Saccharomyces cerevisiae S288C: one gene and its partner. The protein of the gene in region 1 purifies or fractionates together with the protein of each later gene. This does not show direct contact. Each region holds a gene or a part of one and is shown in the gene's direction. Other genes may lie near its edges.

Region 1 (12,046 bases):
TTTTCTCGAAGACTCTTGCACCAAAAAGAAACTTTAGGGCGAAGAAGCTAAAAGACATTGGCGATACTAGAATAGATAGGGCAGATAAAGATTTTTTATTAGTGCCGGAGCCAAGTATGTTTGTGAACGGTAATCAATCTAATTTCGCTAAGCCCGCTGGTCAAGGTATTCTGCCCATTCCTAAAAAATCTCGAATTATTAAGACTGATAAGCCAAGACCGTTCTTGTGTCCCACATGCACTAGGGGTTTTGTCAGGCAGGAGCATTTGAAGAGACATCAGCATTCGCATACCCGTGAGAAACCGTATCTTTGTATCTTTTGCGGTAGGTGTTTTGCTCGTAGAGATTTAGTGCTCAGGCATCAGCAAAAACTTCATGCTGCTCTTGTAGGTACGGGGGATCCACGGCGAATGACGCCAGCACCAAATTCGACTTCTTCTTTTGCCTCCAAGCGGCGCCATTCCGTGGCGGCGGATGATCCAACCGACCTTCATATCATTAAAATAGCCGGAAATAAAGAGACTATTCTACCCACCCCGAAGAACCTTGCTGGTAAGACATCTGAAGAATTGAAAGAGGCCGTGGTTGCCTTGGCCAAATCAAATAATGTAGAACTTCCCGTCTCGGCCCCAGTAATGAACGATAAGCGAGAGAAAACTCCTCCTAGTAAGGCAGGCTCCCTAGGATTTCGAGAGTTCAAGTTCAGCACGAAAGGCGTGCCAGTTCACTCTGCATCAAGCGATGCTGTTATCGACAGGGCGAACACTCCCTCTTCCATGCATAAGACGAAAAGACATGCGTCTTTCTCTGCATCCAGTGCAATGACTTACATGTCTAGTAGCAATAGCCCCCACCATTCAATTACCAATTTCGAGCTCGTTGAAGACGCTCCGCATCAAGTCGGCTTTTCTACTCCACAAATGACCGCGAAGCAGCTCATGGAAAGCGTGTCAGAATTGGATTTACCTCCGTTAACCCTGGACGAACCACCGCAAGCTATCAAGTTTAACTTAAATCTATTTAACAATGACCCCTCCGGACAGCAACAACAACAACAACAACAACAGCAAAATTCCACCTCTAGTACCATAGTGAACAGCAACAATGGAAGTACAGTTGCTACACCTGGAGTGTATCTCTTAAGTAGCGGTCCATCTTTAACCGATCTTTTGACAATGAACTCTGCACATGCAGGTGCGGGAGGATACATGTCTAGCCACCATTCGCCATTTGATTTGGGCTGCTTCAGTCATGATAAACCGACAGTTTCTGAATTTAACCTTCCGTCAAGCTTCCCGAATACTATACCGTCTAATTCTACTACGGCTTCTAATAGTTACAGTAATTTGGCAAATCAAACTTATAGGCAAATGAGCAATGAGCAGCCGCTTATGTCACTATCTCCTAAAAACCCACCAACAACTGTTTCAGATTCCTCTTCCACGATCAATTTCAATCCAGGCACAAATAATTTACTGGAACCATCAATGGAGCCCAATGATAAGGATAGTAATATCGATCCTGCTGCCATAGATGACAAGTGGTTATCAGAGTTTATTAACAACTCTGATCCAAAATCTACCTTCAAGATCAACTTCAATCATTTCAATGACATTGGGTTTATTTATTCTCCACCTTCATCAAGGTCATCTATACCAAACAAGTCACCTCCAAACCATTCTGCTACCTCATTAAATCATGAAAAAGCTTCTTTATCACCTCGCTTAAACTTGAGTTTGAATGGAAGCACAGATTTACCAAGTACACCACAAAACCAACTAAAGGAGCCTTCCTATTCTGACCCTATTTCCCATAGTTCTCATAAGAGGCGTCGTGATAGCGTCATGATGGACTACGATCTATCCAATTTTTTCAGCTCAAGGCAATTGGATATTTCCAAGGTATTAAACGGGACAGAGCAAAATAATTCTCATGTGAACGACGATGTTCTCACTTTGTCTTTCCCCGGCGAAACTGATTCTAATGCAACACAGAAACAGCTGCCTGTTCTTACTCCTTCGGATTTGTTATCTCCGTTTTCTGTCCCTTCAGTATCTCAAGTGCTTTTTACCAATGAGCTAAGGAGTATGATGCTAGCCGACAATAATATCGATTCAGGAGCCTTCCCCACAACTAGTCAATTGAACGATTATGTGACTTACTATAAGGAAGAATTCCATCCATTTTTTTCATTTATTCATCTTCCTTCTATCATACCTAATATGGACAGTTATCCCTTGTTATTATCTATCTCCATGGTCGGAGCATTGTATGGGTTTCATTCGACGCATGCAAAAGTGTTAGCTAATGCAGCTAGCACCCAAATTAGGAAAAGCTTGAAAGTTAGTGAGAAAAACCCGGAGACGACAGAGTTATGGGTTATACAGACATTAGTATTGCTAACGTTCTACTGTATTTTCAATAAAAATACAGCCGTGATCAAGGGGATGCATGGTCAGTTGACGACTATTATTCGTCTCTTGAAGGCCTCTCGTTTAAATTTGCCCCTAGAGTCCCTATGCCAGCCGCCTATTGAGAGTGATCATATTATGGAATATGAAAACAGTCCTCATATGTTTTCAAAAATAAGAGAGCAATACAACGCGCCGAATCAAATGAACAAAAACTACCAATATTTTGTATTGGCGCAGTCACGTATCAGGACTTGCCATGCGGTATTACTTATATCTAACTTATTTTCTTCACTGGTAGGTGCTGATTGCTGTTTTCATTCAGTCGATTTAAAATGTGGTGTTCCATGCTATAAAGAAGAATTATATCAGTGCCGAAATTCCGATGAATGGTCGGACCTATTATGTCAATACAAAATAACGTTAGATTCGAAATTTTCGTTGATTGAATTGTCTAATGGTAACGAGGCATATGAAAATTGTTTGAGGTTTCTTTCTACAGGCGATAGTTTTTTTTACGGAAATGCTAGGGTTTCGTTAAGTACATGTCTATCATTGTTGATATCTATCCATGAGAAAATACTTATTGAAAGAAATAACGCAAGGATCAGTAATAACAACACCAATAGCAATAACATTGAGTTGGACGATATTGAGTGGAAGATGACTTCCAGACAACGGATCGATACAATGTTAAAATACTGGGAAAACCTTTATTTGAAAAATGGTGGCATCTTGACACCTACCGAGAATAGCATGTCAACAATAAACGCCAATCCAGCAATGAGGTTAATAATTCCGGTATATTTGTTTGCCAAAATGAGACGGTGTTTGGACCTGGCACATGTTATTGAGAAAATCTGGTTGAAAGATTGGTCCAATATGAATAAAGCTTTGGAGGAAGTTTGCTATGACATGGGTTCATTGAGGGAAGCTACCGAGTATGCACTGAATATGGTGGATGCGTGGACTTCATTTTTTACGTACATTAAACAGGGCAAGCGCAGAATTTTCAATACTCCTGTATTTGCGACCACATGTATGTTCACTGCAGTATTAGTGATTTCGGAATACATGAAATGTGTAGAGGATTGGGCACGCGGGTACAATGCCAACAACCCTAACTCAGCATTATTGGATTTTTCGGACCGTGTCTTATGGCTAAAAGCAGAAAGGATTTTGAGAAGATTACAAATGAACTTGATACCGAAGGAGTGTGATGTGTTGAAATCGTACACTGATTTCTTAAGATGGCAGGACAAGGATGCCCTAGATTTGTCAGCACTAAATGAAGAACAAGCACAAAGGGCCATGGACCCGAATACCGATATAAATGAGACAATTCAACTAATTGTAGCGGCAAGTCTATCCTCCAAATGTTTATATTTGGGTGTTCAAATATTGGGTGATGCGCCAATTTGGCCTATAATATTATCGTTCGCTCATGGTTTGCAATCAAGAGCTATCTATAGTGTTACGAAAAAAAGAAACACTAGAATATAAGTCCGATTTACAAATATATAATGGCGGCCGTCTCTATACTATAGTATTTACAGAATTAAAGCTTAGAACTATCATAACTTTCATAATATACCACCAGGCTTCAAAAAGGCATTGTTCCATTCGGAGTTTGCTTGAGTTTGATGGCCCGGGTAAAAAGGTTTGACAAGGCAAGGGGCCGTACTTATTAAAACAATTTCAACATGCACAATTAAGAATGTAAGAGATATATGAGAATGATACAGAGAGAGAGAAAGAGAGAGAAAGAGGAAGGTCAATTAAAGGAGAGAACTGTTGTTAATATGGCAGACCCTGATGACAATGAGGCCGAAGCCACTGGATTACAACAATATAGTGGCGAGACCACTCGCGATGACAATGAAGAAAGCATGAATGATTCTTTCACTTTAACATCCAGGAATAGAGGCAGAAGTAATACAATATCTAGTATTGTTAGTGGTTATGAAATAATGAAAGAACATATGGACAAGGAAAAGTTTATGTACTTGATTCTAGCGAGTCTCCTTTTGTACATGGGATTTGTTGCCGCATTTGCTCCCAGGACGTCTTTATCAAGAGACTTTCGGCGGTTTCACTCTTCCAGATTGACGAATGCAGAGGTTTATAGGATATACTTGAACTCCTTGCAACAGGAAAATAGAGCGAAAGAACATGTATACAAGTATGCTGGGTACATGAGCAACGGAGCAAGTGATTCGTCAACGTTTAAATATACCTTGGACGAGTTTCTAGATATGGGGTACAAACCCAAAGTTGAAAAATATTACCCATGGATAGGTGAACCAGTAGACACTAACGTAGCTCCTTTAGAAAATGGTAAAGTGGTCTACGAAGCAAGCATGATCGAGGATAGAGTTAAAGGTGATCCTGCTTCTCACGCTAGGAAAAGGCAAAAGGGTTTCCATCAATATTCAAAAAATGGAAGTGTAACTGCTCGATACGTGTTTTGCAATTATGGTAGCATCAGTGATTACAAGCTACTTTTGAAGAAAAACATTGATATTGAAGATAAAATCCACATCGTACGATCGGGTAAAATATTACCTGGATTAAAGGTAAAGAATGCAGAACTTTATGGCGCTTCCAGTGTCATTATATATACAGACCCATTTGACGATGGTAAAGTTACTGAGGAAAATGGGTTTTTACACTATCCTTATGGACCAGCAAGAAACCCAAGTTATATTAGGAGAGATTCTGTAAACTATTTCAGTGACACTCCAGGAGATCCGACAACTCCAGGGTATCCCTCCAAGGATTCCGACACTGAACATATGTCACCGGTAGGGAGAGTGCCGAGGATACCATCGGTGCCGATGAGTGCTAGAGATGTCCAACCAATTTTAGAAAGATTGAATGGCAGGGGTTTTCAAATTGGGCCCGGTAGTAATATAAAAGATTTTGGATCATTCACTGGACCTTCAAGCTCTATCGATAAAGTCCATTTGCATAATGAGCTAACTTACAACATCAAGGAAATGAGTAGTGTAGAGGTTAGTATCCCTGGTATATTCACTGAGGGGGAGATTATTATCGGAGCTCATAGGGATTCGCTCGCCTCGAGTAGCGCCGGTGATGCAAATAGTGGCAGCGCTATTCTTTTAGAAATTGCACGAGGAATGAGTAAATTACTTAAGCATGGTTGGAAGCCACTGCGTCCTATCAAACTAATAAGTTGGGATGGTGAACGATCCGGCCTTCTGGGATCTACAGATTATGCAGAAGCTCATGCTGCGATTCTCAGGAGAAGGGCCTTGGTATACCTAAATCTAGATAATGCAATCTCTGGGACAAATTTTCACTGTAAAGCCAACCCACTTTTACAAGACGTGATATACGAAGCTGCTAAGCTCACGGAATTTAATGGGCACGAAGACTGGTCATTGTTCGACCATTGGAAATACACTTCTAATGCCACTATTTCTCTACTTGATGGGTTGTCTAGTTACACTTCATTTCAGTACCATCTTGGAGTGCCCGCTGCACATTTTCAGTTTAATGCCAATGATACTTCAGGCGCAGTCTATCATAGTAACTCCGTATTCGATAGCCCAACTTGGTTGGAAAAATTTACCAATTCTGACTACAAGTTACACAACACCATGGCCATGTTTGTAGGTTTGACAACGCTGATGCTGAGTGAAAACGAACTGGCAAGATTCAATACACATGTTTACCTGAAGAAAATATATAACTGGTATATCGCATGGCACTCTAATCTATCTTCAGCATTTCCCCAGGACGATGAAGTGAACAGCTTAGCAAAAAGGGTTCTGGACTTATTAAAAGTTGCCACACAGGAAGATAGCATCCAATTTGACCAACAAAATGGTATTCTCTATAAAGAGTGTAGGGAAGCTTTACCTGTTTGGGCTTTTTACAAAAAAATCAAGAGCTATATTAAACTGCAACGATCCAATAGCAAATCAAAGCAAATTGATCAATTATTTATTACACACAGAGGACTGAAAGACAGGGAATGGATGAAGTACTCTCTTTTAGCACCTAGTAAGTTTGAGGGATCTGTCGGGGAAGTTTTGCCCGGCCTTCACGAAGGATTGGCTGATATTGATAGAAACGAGGTCATTCAGTGGTTAACCATTTTGCTAAGCCAATTCAGCAACGTTCGCTATTTACTTCAATAAGCATTTAAGTACCTCACCTCAGTATATACATTTATTTTATTTGCATACGTAGAGTGACTTTGAATAATAACCATGAGAGGCTTTTTTGTATATACTCTATAAACATGGCTTCAATTTCTTATACATGTCACACCGTACGTTGTGCGAGGTGATTAGGAAAAGTAAAAGGGGACTAGAAGAATCATGAAATGATTTGTAGATACAGTTATTTGAGGAAAGCAAAAATTACCAATTCAGGAAGGTGTAGGGACGTCGATAGGAGATCACATCGTTAATTAGTGTTAGGAAGAATGAGTTTAGAGGATACATTAGCCAACATGTCATTATATGACGCCAAGAAATATTTTCGTAAAGCTCAAAATGTTGTTTTCAATTATACTGAGATGGAGGGGAAAGTTCGTGAAGCGACAAACAACGAGCCTTGGGGTGCCTCATCCACTTTAATGGACCAGATTTCTCAAGGAACTTACAATTTCAGGGAAAGAGAAGAAATTTTGTCCATGATATTCAGAAGGTTCACTGAAAAGGCAGGTAGTGAGTGGAGGCAAATTTATAAAGCCTTGCAATTGCTCGATTACCTTATCAAACACGGTTCTGAAAGGTTTATCGATGATACAAGGAATAGCATTAACTTAATTAGGATTTTAGAAACTTTTCACTATATTGATTCCCAGGGAAGAGATCAAGGAATTAATGTCAGAACTAGGGTCAAAGCTTTGATTGAATTATTGAGCGACGATAATAAGATACGCGCAGAAAGAAAAAAGGCAAGAGAAACGGCAAAGAAGTACAAGGGCGTTGCTGGAGGATCTGCCTCTGCTGATGGCAGTTTGAATTCGAAGGCAGGTTTCACGTCAACGAAAGTGCACGGCATTAGCGTGAGTGCTGATTTCGATAGTGACAATGAAGATAACGAAGATGGTTCTTTTAGTCAAAATGGATATAACGATAATGCCTCGAGAGCCACATCTACTCCTGGGCAAGGAAAACAAGAACCAGAGGACTTTGTTGACTTTTTTTCTAGTGAGTCTTCAAAACCATCTAAAGAACTCATACAAGAAGATGAAAAGAAGGCGGACGAAGAAGAGGACGATGATGACGAGTTTTCAGAATTTCAAAGCGCCGTCCCTGTTACCAACCCTGCTAATTCGTTTAACTTGCTAAACACGAGCCCAATTGAGGGTATGCCCGCCACCACGAGTTCAATGCCTTTTTATAACAGCTCCACTACCGACCAAGGCAAGATTACCCCAGCTATTGCGGAACCTAAAAAAGTAGATCCTTTTAGCTCTCTCTTTTCAACTGCAAAGGCATCTGCAGAAGCACCTAGTGCTCCTAAAGCATCCCAAGCGAAAGCCGCTGCCTCTAATCCTGTATCTAATAGCACAACTGCACTAAGTACAGATCAAGATGATGATGACGAATTTGGTGAAATGCATGGTGGAGCTGTTCAACAAGAACAGAATACCAATAATAACCATACATCATCCAAAGAAATCGATTTACTTTCCTTTTGAGTGATATTATTGGTTTACACAATATGTAAATGTTTTATAACAATAGAAAGTACTTTGTAACAGGTATTACGAACATTACTATCTAATCTCCACTGTATTTCTCCTTTATATGTTTGTCTTGATTTCGTGAAATAGTTTGTGAACATTTTTTTGATCTTTTTTTCGTAAAGAAGGGCCCTTTTCAAATTTATTTACATTTTGGTCATTTGAAAATACTTTACTTAAAAAGACGAGGAAGAAACTGTAAATCCATAGTTCGAGAGTTGAAGTGCCCTTCAAAACAAAAACTCCTGACTTTTTTTGCTCATTTTTAGTCAATGAACTAAAACTCACCTTCCTTCTCGTTTATTTTTGCCTAGCATTATAGAGCAATTATAACTATATATTAAAGTTGACGCACCGAAAAAAAAGGCACGAAAGAAAACTCTACTAATTTTTCACATCTCGAAAAAGCTCATTGCAGAAGGATTTACCAATATTTCTAAAGTTAACGTAACCATGGCACCGGAAATTTTTGTTAAATTCAAGTGTGCAAGTAGAGACATAAAGCTACTATGGGCGTCCGTCTTTCTTAGACTTCTATCATATGGTTTAACAAATCAAGTTTTGACGCTTTTTTTAAATGCCATCAATATGACAGAGGATAAAATTGGGCTGTTTATGTCATTAACACTGGCAGGGGATGTAATTTGCTCTTACATTCTTACTTGGTATGCGGATTCCTGGGGCCGAAGAAGAGTCCTAGTTTATGGTTGTGCAATGATGTTGTTAAGTGGGTTGGTTTTCAGTTTTAGCGAAAATTTCACCCTCTTGCTAGTATTTGCTATCTTCGGTGTTATATCGCCTTCAAGTGATGAAGTCGGGCCTTTCAAATCTATAGAAGAGGCCATGATTGCACATCTGAGTCCTCATAATGCAAGACCAGAGATTTATGCTATTCACGCCTTGGTTGGAACAATTGGAAGCGCTCTAGGTGCAATAATTTGTGGTATATTTGTAGATCTTTTGAAAAGAACTGGTTTAGCTGCTACTGATTTGCAATGTTATAAATTAGTTTTCTTACTGTATGCCTTCTTCGCCTTTTGCAAAATGGTCATCATGCTCTTATTATCAGATGCTACAGAATTGGACGGGCATTATGAACATACAGATTGCAATGAAGAAACAGCTGAACCATTGGACGTTAACGATGAAACTGCACCATTAATGAGACAAGCAACTCACCCAGAAGAAAGATCCAACAAACTATCTAAGGAGACCGTTTCGGTTTTGATGAAATTGTTAGTAATCTTCATGGTCGACTCTCTCGGGTCCGGGTTTATGACAAGTGGCTGGATGGTTTACTACTATAGTAAGCAATTTTTGATGGGATCTCTGGCGTTGGGTACTTTATTTTTCATCACGCAACTGGTTATGGCATCTTCCACCATCCCATCATCAATAATTGCCAGATGTTTTGGCCCAGTAAGAGCCACACTATTGGTCCAAATTCCATCAGGGATATTTTCTATTCTCATCCCTATGGCCAAGAATTACTTGCCCTTATCTATTTTGTTTTTGAATCTGCATTTTGCAACAACTGCCATGGACGTTACACCAAGGCAAATTCTATTAACAAATATCATCAAACCAAGAGATTTAACCAAAGTTATGGGGGTGGTCAACATTGGAAAGACATTTGCTCGGTGTGTTGGTCCAATATTCACGGGTATACTTGCTAACAATAATTATTTATGGCTATGTTACATCATTAGTGGGTCCTTGGTGATAACGGCGGATCTAATACTGGCATGCATGTTTTTAGGAGTGGACGCTAAAATTAAAAAGCAAATGAACCGCCATTAATGCAGCAGCAAATGTAGAGTGACTTAGAAACATGTGTAGATCATTTCAAGGAAACGTTACGTTTAGAGACAATGTAAATAGTACCCAGTTAAAGTATCTGACACACGAGGAAGTACAACCAATAGCATTTATATTTACTTGATAGATTTGCGTAAGATATATTATTTAAAAATTGATAGTCCTATTTTTTTTTACATCAAAAGATAAGATTGTATTATGTTATAAATTTAAACAATAGAGTGTACAAAGAAGATAAAAGTAATAATAAGAAAAACATATGTAATATTGAAAATCTTTCACTTTTTTTAGCTTCTTAACGGTTAGACTTGGCAACACGTTCCAATTCATCCTTCTTCTTGATAGCGTAAGAAGTAGAGGAACCCTTAGCAGCATTGATCAATTCTTCGGCCAAAGTTTCAGCAATGGTCTTGATGTTTCTGAAAGCAGCTTCTCTGGCACCAATGGTCAACAAAGCAATAGCTTGGTTAACTCTTCTCAATGGAGAAACATCGACAGCTTGACGTCTAGCAGCACCACCACCACCGACTCTGGTGGTGTCTTCTCTTGGACCAGTGTTGGTGATAGCGTCAACAACAACTTGGATTGGGTTTTGGTCAGTCAAGACATTGATGATGTCCAAAGTGTGCTTGATGATTCTAACAGCCTTTAATTTCTTACCGTTGTTTCTACCGTTCATCATCAAGGAGTTGGTCAATCTTTCAATGATTGGACATTGAGCCTTTCTGAATCTCTTGTTGGCGTAACGACCAGCGGTGTGAGCAACAAAGATTGGTTGTCTAACTTGAACGTAGTCAACCAAAGAAGCATCCTTAACTTCAACTTCTTCAAAAGACCATTTGTTGAACAACTTAATCTCGGTTTGAGCTTGTTGGACTTCTTCTGGAATTGGAGTAGCCAAGACGACTGGGGTGAATTCTTCAACAACTTCGAAATCTTCTTGAACTTCAACTGGAGCTTCGGTGTCAGACATCTTTGGAATGGTCGGTTATTTCTAGTCTCTTTTCTTGGTATTATGAAAGGAGTGTAATTAAAATAAAAAGTAATTTTAATTCAAAATGAAATTTTAAGTATTGATAAAAAGTACAAAATATTTTAGAACTAATGGGCACATTGTGGATAATCCATTACCTACTAACGTGAGCGTAGAAGTTGGCCCAAGGTGGAAGGGTTCAGTGAGACCTCCACTAAGCCTGCGGCGAAGGTAGGGGAGCTTGCAAAGGAGATTTCCCAGCAAAGGGGCAGAATTAGACGGGCCCAGTACGGTAGAAAGAAACAAGGCTTTACGTTCTGGGCGGGAGAAAAAGAATTCTCCTTCCCCGTAGCAGGGCGCGAAATGTTTGTTACCATGAATTAGTTTCTGGAAAAAAACTGATGCAGGGCCATTCTCATCTGAAAAATAAACTTGAGACAAATATGTATGGGTTAAGAATAATTATGGGTATATGGGTGTTGTTGTATAAAAGGTCTTGATAAGGAATTACGTAACAAATGATATGCAAATTTGAGAACTCAAGGCTGTTCATTGTTTCTTATTTGTATGCATATATCTATTTCCTATTTGCATATTCACAAGTAGTATTTACAAGGTGTTTTCGTGAAATCTATTTATGAGGCCCGTTATTGTTTTTCCAGTCGCTAAACCAGAATGGTTTTTGAGGTGTTATTTTAATATTTTCACCCTTCGTTGTAGTAATGTAAAATTCGACTGGCTCATCAGATGAGAAGGCAGCAGAGAAATGCTCTGTTCTAAGTAAAGCTACGCCATACAGCCCTTCATTAGAAATCAATAAGCCTGCCGGCCTTTGCTTTCTCTTGGTTCGTTCGGGCGGTTTATTGGTAAATGGATTGAGGGTTGGCTCGTTCTCTGCAAGGCTCTTTTCTACAACGTTGTCGATATGGAATTCTGCGTACTTTCTTTCTGGGTCTGTATCTAAAAGTTGATAATTATCCAGCTTAACTGGGACCAAACGTTTCCGTAGAATGCCTGTAGCATATGTCCTGGCTGTCAGCTCTTGTCCTACATAACATCCTTTGTTTGTGCTTATAGTGTTTGGAAAAAAATCAAAGTTTAGTTCCAAAGGTAGCA
Region 2 (8,605 bases), on another chromosome or scaffold:
AGTTGAGAACAATGAAAATCTATGGAGGTTGAAAAACGACTGCTGTTCGAAGATTCTTTTCAAATCAAATGTTGTTATGAATAATGGTTATAATAATCAGATCAAATTTGTCTTTGAATATAAATCTGTGGATGCAAATTTCAATAACCAGGATTCATTACAAGATCCACAGGCAAAGTATACATTAGATAAGTACTCTAGCGAGGAGATTTTGCCAAGTTTTGAGCCAGTTTATTCCTGGTCTTCTGCAGCCACCAAATCATCCAAAAATACTAATAATCATCTGGAGAAAAATAACAGGGCGACTCATCGAGTTAGTTCTAAAAATAGCGAAGTCCACGAAGCGGACGTTTCTAGAAATCCGAATACATTTACTCTTAAGCTCCAATACCCAATATTCTCACTTTTGAATATGAGATTGAGAAACATCTCCTTGAAATCTGAGCATTGCATATTATCATCGTTAGACTTTCAAACTTCTAAAGCATCCGAACAACTGACCAAAAAATTTATTTATCCGCAAGAACACAATTCTTTTCTCAAACTGAACTTTCAAGAAATATCGTATAAACTAATCGACGGAACCTCTCAAATTGAACTAGATCCAATCTGTCCTTTGAAAGTGCCACTCACTGCATTTTCATACGATAGCATTAGCGCTACTTTTAAACTGGTTCTGTTACCCAAATCAACTCAACCACATCGTGTGAAAATCACCTTAGCGTACGAACTCGAGCTGCATCCCAATCTGAAGTTACCTGTGAGAACATCATGGGAAACAGAAGTCACATTGAAGCGTTCTATGCCAATTTCCTCGACATCTTCTCAATACTCGAGTAACAACAATAATACCAATCATAGCGCTTCTTTTAATGGTGCGGCCAACAACGTTAATTCTGGTGGTTTGGCCAATCTAAGATTAGGTGGGGTTTCCTCCTCAAGATTTAGTCTTGGAGCTGCTTCGACTACATCATTGGTGAATAGCAAATTAAGCAATGTAAAATTCAAGTTTATTAATAGCAATATAAAAGTTATTAAGGGCGAAAAGTTTACTATGAGGCTTCAGATCATTAACTCGTCATCATCCCCCCTGGATCTTGTTGTGTATTATAACAATACAATAAACCCAATCCCTTCAGCTAATAACGTACGTAACAGCAATGGTATAAACAACTGTGGCATGAATAATGGGACTATCCCCAATTCGCCCTTGACACTGGAAAATCAGTACCAACTGCATAATAAATATAGAAAAATTGCGGAGGGGATTATACTATTATCCAACGATTACAAAATTCCAGTTGTACCTCCGAGAGAAACATACTTCGCGGATTTACGATTTATTGGTATTATGTCCGGATATTATGGCACTCTCTCCGGACTTAAGGTATTGGATTTAAATACAAATGAACTTATAGAAGTTGGAAATGGCGCATCTGTGTTAATCCAGTAAGCGGAACAAGTATACATTTTATTAACATAGACTACATACTAATCTGTAACATTTCTATAAAAAAGTTATTATCATCACATTACACGATAGAAACACTTCCATATTTTTTTACACTGAAAGGGGCACCTAGAAGATTAAACAACTAAACTGAAAATATACGTGCTAGAAAAAGGGTTTTACAGCTTTACTTAGGCGTTGCGAGTCACCCAAAAGAGCAGTTGAAGGACGCCGCCGTTTCACTAGATACATATATATATAATGTCAGAGAAATTCCCTCCTTTGGAAGATCAAAACATTGATTTCACACCCAACGACAAAAAAGATGACGACACCGATTTTTTAAAAAGAGAAGCAGAGATACTTGGAGACGAGTTCAAGACTGAACAGGATGACATATTGGAAACGGAGGCTTCCCCCGCCAAAGATGATGACGAAATTAGGGATTTTGAAGAGCAATTTCCAGATATCAACTCCGCAAATGGCGCAGTCTCGAGCGATCAAAATGGTAGTGCTACTGTATCTAGTGGTAATGACAATGGCGAGGCAGATGATGATTTTTCCACATTCGAAGGTGCCAATCAGAGTACAGAATCCGTTAAAGAGGATCGTTCTGAAGTTGTAGACCAATGGAAACAACGTCGTGCTGTAGAGATTCACGAAAAGGATTTAAAGGACGAGGAGTTAAAAAAGGAATTGCAGGATGAAGCTATCAAACATATTGACGATTTTTACGATTCTTACAATAAAAAGAAGGAACAACAATTGGAAGATGCTGCTAAGGAAGCTGAGGCTTTCTTAAAGAAAAGAGATGAATTTTTTGGTCAAGACAATACGACCTGGGATCGTGCACTTCAATTAATTAACCAAGATGATGCCGATATCATTGGGGGTAGAGACAGGTCTAAGCTTAAAGAAATTCTTTTGAGATTGAAAGGTAACGCGAAGGCTCCCGGTGCTTAAATGATGATGAATAATAAGAACCATAATGAACTAAGGAAGAGAAGGGGCTTATTCCCTATCATTCCCGTCATACATGAGTATCATACTTGATAGGTTCAGTAAATAACTAATTCATACTGTAAATTCATTTATCAAGACAACTATAATATAGATTATTTACAAACTTGTAAACTCTTCTCTTCTAAAAAAACACATCACATAATACTAAGCTGAAACAAAAAGAATAGTATATATTTCCCAAAGTTGCAATGCCAATACTTTTTCAAGTAAACATTAACCAAGGACTTCGCAAAGAATTTTGCGAAAAATGGGCTGATTTTCATTTTACTTGTTGGATCCACGAAGGTGAATGTAAGAAGCATCACGATGCACCGCAATTTGTTGCCCATTAATCTGCGCCTTTTCGTGACGAATAAATATTCGATACACTGCCTTAATATAGTCCATTTTAGACTTGGAAAAAAACCCTTGGTGAAATATGAATTTATTATCTTTTCGTTTATATTTGCATAATTATCATCAATTGTAACTTCATGTATTTCATTTAGTCTGTCCATTACATGCTTCAAATTTGATGAAGATATGGGCCAATCATTATGGTTCTTGACCCCAAGGTATTGAGAAAAGTTCCTGACTTCGTGGCCGCCGACATTCTTATTTGATTTCGTCCCTGAAGTAAAAAAGAATTTTAATGTTCTGTGATATACTGCCAAAACTGTGAAAATGGCATTGATTGTGAAGAAATCTATTAAAAATGGCCTATGGTCAAAAAGCACACGGAATGGTAACGAACTCCTGTCCAGTTTGGCAAATAATACAATAATCGCTAAACACACAAGAATTTGCTGGAATTTTATTAATGTACCCTGGGAAAAATTTTTTTTTTTCAACCATTGTGTTAATTTTGCGATCTTTAATTTGGAGGCTATAGCTTCCACAAGAAAGTGTGCGATAATCCACGAAGGTACCTCACCCTTGGTAAGCATTAACGATATTCCTACAATGGAAGACCAGTGAATATAATGATTTTTTAAAAATGGGAACTTCATCAAAGTTGGATATAGTATGTTCAGCAAGACTAATATAGTAGACTCTCTTAGCCATGGCATGATATCATTTATTTGAATATTTTCACCCTGTAATTTTTTCAATTTCCATTTTTTGACATAAAATACTAGGTTTATTCCATAGACTTGGGTTATTCTTTTCAAGATGATGACGAGTTGTTTTCTTCTCTTCTTGTTCAAGAGGAGTAGAAGCCTTCTTATTATCTGCTTGAAGCCAGAAACTGCTTTCCCAGTACCATTTGGACGATTGTGTTTCATATAGTTAGCAAGTGTATACTCTCATTAGCTCTGTTCGCGATGTGTATTTCGTGGTGCTTTATATAGGGTTTTTAACTTTTCCCCATGAACATTCGCTGTTATGTATTCGCAACTAAAAATAATGTCTCTCTTTAATTTTAATTTACATCCAAAGTACGGAAATGGTAACTAAACTATATACAAAAAAAGTTCGCTCAAAAAAAAGTTTAACTATTGTCCAATTGTGCCCATTTTGGTAAATCTGTTTTGAACTTGAATTTGCCATTAATCTCCTCATACTTCCAAGCATGCAACCATAATTCTAGGTCTGATAGCACAGGATCCTTTAAATCAACAGTATGACATTCAGGACAAAATGTTTCCATTGTCCGACAATTATTTTTTGTCTCATCGACAAATTTTTGAAACCTCACTTTCAATTCCTCAGCATCTAAATCCTGCTGATTCTCCCATCTAGGAAACTGAGTTATAAACTTAAGCCTTTCGGGGTATTTTGTAATATGCGAACAATAAACACTATCGTTGACGATGGGATGACCGAGCCTAGCTAAATGGATTCGAATTTGGTGTGTTCTTCCAGTTATTGGCTTACAAGCGACGACAGTTTCATCAGCATGAGAGAAGTATCTTATTGGGTAGAACTTGGTAATAGCATCCTTCGATGTCGATAAACCAACTGGAAACTGTCTCTTTGGATCGATAGAATATATGGGTGTCATTTCCACTGTAACTTTGGAAGTGTCCTCAAAAGTCGTTTCCGCCGCATTTTCATTGTCCAATATCAATTCGGAGTGAGGAAATCTTCCCTTGACCCTTGCCAAGTAGATCTTAATCATATCTCTTGAACGAATACTCTTCTGGATTTCCCCCGCACTCTGACTGTTCTTGGCCAATATCAACAAGCCTGATGTGATCTTGTCTAACCGATAACAAGGAAGAGCATCTACACCATGTAACTTCAGTAATTCAGTAATTGTGTTCTGGTAAAACTGACCGGTTGGATGCACTGGTATACCACTGGGTTTATCAATGACGAGGATACTCTCATCTTCAAAAACAATATTGAATCCCGCTATTCTGCCAGGTAAATCCTCCGCTTCAACTTCCTGGCTACACCATTGTTTTACCGGCGGTTCGTGCTTATGCGTAGTTGTTTCTAAAACATCATGATTCTTGATTATGGTAGTCATGAGATGATCTGGTACCAGCGGCACACCATCTCGGATCAACCTATATGTGCCTTTCCTTATTTGGTCCAAATAATAAGCTCTTGGGCGAAGTTTAAATTCACTAACGAGAACGTCTATTAGTAACTTACCCAACCAGCGCCCCTTCACGAACGCTGATCTTCTGTTATAATAGGGCCGTACCTTTCTCAGTCCATTCTGTGTATATACCTCAATAACTTTGATAGTTGACATACTTGACAATCATCCTTTTGCCCACTGATTGTCTCGAGCAATCGTCAATAAAGTTTTCACAAGAAACATTTATTTGCCTTTTAATGAAAGAAAAAAAGTAAATTTTTCATTAACTTTTATCATTGTTATCAATCTTCTTGTATGACAGCAAGCTATATATACATACATATGCAAATCTAATGTACATAATTTCAACTATTCATACCATTAGTACCATAAAGTCATTCTTTTTACTGTAAACTACACTTGCATTATCCTTCCTCGTCCCTCTTTATTCTTATAACGTTGAACAGTGATTTCTTACCATGTGTATTTTTGTACTCAACCCGCAAAAGATAAGCATCCTCATACAGAAGTATTATTATTACCACTGTTACTTTTATTGTCGTTATTTGTCTTGCGTTTTTATGTTTATGGAGATAAAGTGGGAATGACTTTATCATATGCAATTATTAGCCGCTATAAGGCTAAGATTCTTCAAATTTATTTCATTTTTCTTTTACCCTTGCCACCCTTGCCCAGTTGCTCCTCCTCTGCGGTTAGCAACGCATCGCGCTCCTTTTTAGCTCTTGCTTTTTCTTGTCTTTTTTGCTCTTCCTCTAATTTTTTGGCATTCTCTTTCCTCGAACCTTGTTCCCATTTAGAAGCTTCCTCCGCTTCTAGCTGCTCCATTTGTGCTCTTTGTTTAGCATGTGCCTGATCTCTTTTTCTTGCTAAGCCAGCTGCTTTCTTTGCGGCGGATTCTGAAAATCTTTTACCCATCTTTTTACTTCCTCTTTGCTATTCTATTATTTCCTGTATAGGCAGGTTTTGTGCTCAATTGATAAATTCTTTTACCTATTAAATATAAACTTGAGTTTCAACTTATTCAGCTTTATTTTAAACATTATACAAGTTTTTCATTTTGAGGGGTCTTTAACTGGAAAAAAAAAGCTTTCACGACTCAAAGAAAAAAAAAAAAATTTTTTTAGGGTAAAAAAAAACTAAGGGCTAATATGAAAAATACAAAGGTTATGTTACTTTAAAATGAGGTTTGGAAGAAGGAGAAAGACAAAAAAGCAGGGCACATGTCAAACTCTTGGAAACTTGAGATCCTAGCCCTAACGCATGTGCTACTTCAAGGAATTCTTCTTATATATGACAACTATTCCAATTTGATGCTAAAACTAGCCCAAAGTGGTTGATGCTGTATCAATTGGTAAAGAATCCTCGATTTTCAGGAGCATCCAACGACGAAGATGAGGATTATTAAGGGCAGAAAGCGAGGCAAGAACAAGAAGCCAACGCTAATTTTAAAAATTCATGTCATTCAAGCTGAAAATATTGAAGCCTTGAAGACATTCAATTGTAACCCGGTATGTTTTGTTACCACTAATACATTTTATAGTCAAAAGACGAACAAGCTCAAGAACTCAAATACACACTGGAATCAAACCTTGAGGATCAAACTTCCGAGAAATCCAACATCTGAATGGTTAAGGATTATAGTATACGACGCCCTACCAACCGGAGCTCCCCCTACTACCCCCAGTAGACCAAGGACAACCACTGCAAATACATCTTCATCGACACTGTCAAATTCAGGGCTAAGTTCTCACTCTCATTCGTCGAGAAATTTGAATGTTACGTCCAAAGGTAATCAAACTTCAACATCAATTAATTCAGTATCATCTTCAGCTACACCGGCCCCTTCACATTCTTCCTCTTCTCTCTCAACAACAGGTCCCGGGTCCACACACAAAAATAGGATTAATAGCTATCTATATTTGGGTGAAGCAAAAATTTCATTACTGGATTTATTCAAGAGGAAGGACACCACGACGAGCTATAAATTTTCAATTGAAGCTCAGCGGTACCATCTATACGATATGAAAGGAGGGAAAGACCAAGATTCCTTGAACTGCAACTTTCTAGTGGGCGATATTTTGCTTGGATTTAAGCTAGAATGTAACGTTAAAAGAACCCCGACTTTTCAGGCTTTCAATGCTTGGAGAAATGAGTTGAACACTTACTTGGGCAGAATAGATAGAAATAAGGCCCGCATGAGATCTTCTAGTTCTTTGCCACCTCCACTAGAAGATATGTTGAGCAATAGTTCAGCTGTTAGTGGAAATGAAATACGACGCGAGAAACCATATAGCGATACTGATCTAGCCCACGATGAAGAGGTCAATGCCGAGGATGAAATAGATGCTGAGGAATCTATTGAAGATATGAATAGCAGCGGCAGCATTTGTACGGAGAGGAGGTACGATATAGACAATGATACTATATTCGACTCTATATCTGAGGTTGTTTCGCTAAATGATGAAGAACTAGATATTCTAAATGATTTTGAAGAAGCAGATCATCCAAATGTGCCAGACATAAATGTGCATGACATCGACGAAGATACCCGTATCAGTCTATCTTCAATGATAACAGCTTTAGATGAATATGATATCGTAGAACCAGAAGATGTTGCAAAATTACCTGCAGTGTCGGAAAATGACATAACATCAGTGGATGACGAAGAATCTGAAAACCAACAGGAAAGTGATGAGGAGTTTGATATATATAATGAGGATGAGCGTGAAGATTCTGATTTTCAATCAAAAGAATACATTGGGAGTCGGCTTTTACACCTGCAAAGGGGTAAACATAATAAATCATATGCAAATTACTTATACAGAAGAGCAAAAAGTAACTTTTTTATATCGAAAAAGGAACATGCGATGGGGGTAGTATTTATGCATATTGGGGCTATCAAAAATTTACCTGCATTAAGGAATCGGTTGTCCAAGACTAATTATGAAATGGATCCATTTATCGTTATTTCGTTTGGTAGAAGAGTATTCAAGACATCTTGGAGAAAACATACTTTAAACCCAGAATTTAATGAATATGCCGCTTTCGAAGTTTTTCCCCATGAAACGAATTTTGCTTTCAGTATCAAAGTTGTTGATAAAGACTCATTTTCATTCAATGATGACGTTGCAAAATGCGAACTGGCTTGGTTTGATATGCTGCAACAGCAACAACATGAAAACGAATGGATACCTTATGAGATACCATTGGATCTCACTGTTGAGCCAGCACATGCTCCTAAGCAACCGGTATTATATTCGAGCTTCAAATATGTTTCATATCCGTTCTTAAAAAAGAGCTTTTGGAAAGAAGCTGTTGACACATCAGTCAACTTAGAGAGACTCGACATTATTCAAGTAATGCTCTATCTTGAACGTCTTGGTTCATTCACGATGGCCGATTCTTTTGAACTCTTTCAGCATTTCAATAAATCTGCTTGGGCCGGCCAGAGCATTACTAGATCACAATTAGTTGAAGGGCTACAGTCATGGAGAAAATCCACTAATTTTAAACGCATCTGGACATGTCCTAGATGCATGCGTTCATGCAAACCAACTAGAAATGCTAGACGTTCTAAACTGGTTCTAGAAAATGACTTG

What was found.
Region 2: the proteins of ENT3 (region 1) and CLC1 purify together in Saccharomyces cerevisiae (affinity purification with western blotting; 2 studies listed by BioGRID, with this or other methods). This does not show direct contact.

What each region holds. Positions count from the first base shown.
Region 1 is NC_001142.9:650,785-662,830, reverse strand, and holds ENT3 (Ent3p), read left to right. Parts: upstream 1-6,867; coding exon 6,868-8,094; downstream 8,095-12,046. Other genes in the region: RSF2 (Rsf2p), read left to right, coding at 1-3,914; VPS70 (putative zinc metalloprotease), read left to right, coding at 4,142-6,577; YJR124C (uncharacterized protein), read left to right, coding at 8,593-9,939; 40S ribosomal protein uS7 RPS5, read right to left, coding at 10,253-10,930; IBA57 (Iba57p), read right to left, coding at 11,562-12,046. UniProt on the Saccharomyces cerevisiae protein: Involved in the recruitment of clathrin to the Golgi network and endosomes to form clathrin coated vesicles. Plays a role in the trafficking of clathrin between the Golgi network and endosomes.
Region 2 is NC_001139.9:830,745-839,349, forward strand, and holds CLC1 (clathrin light chain CLC1), read left to right. Parts: upstream 1-1,711; coding exon 1,712-2,413; downstream 2,414-8,605. Other genes in the region: TRS65 (Trs65p), read left to right, coding at 1-1,453; PEX35 (Pex35p), read right to left, coding at 2,608-3,738; pseudouridine synthase PUS6, read right to left, coding at 3,945-5,159; LSO2 (Lso2p), read right to left, coding at 5,643-5,921; PSD2 (phosphatidylserine decarboxylase 2), read left to right, coding at 6,398-8,605. UniProt on the Saccharomyces cerevisiae protein: Clathrin is the major protein of the polyhedral coat of coated pits and vesicles. In yeast, it is involved in the retention of proteins in an intracellular membrane compartment, presumably the trans-Golgi. The yeast light chain is important for cell growth.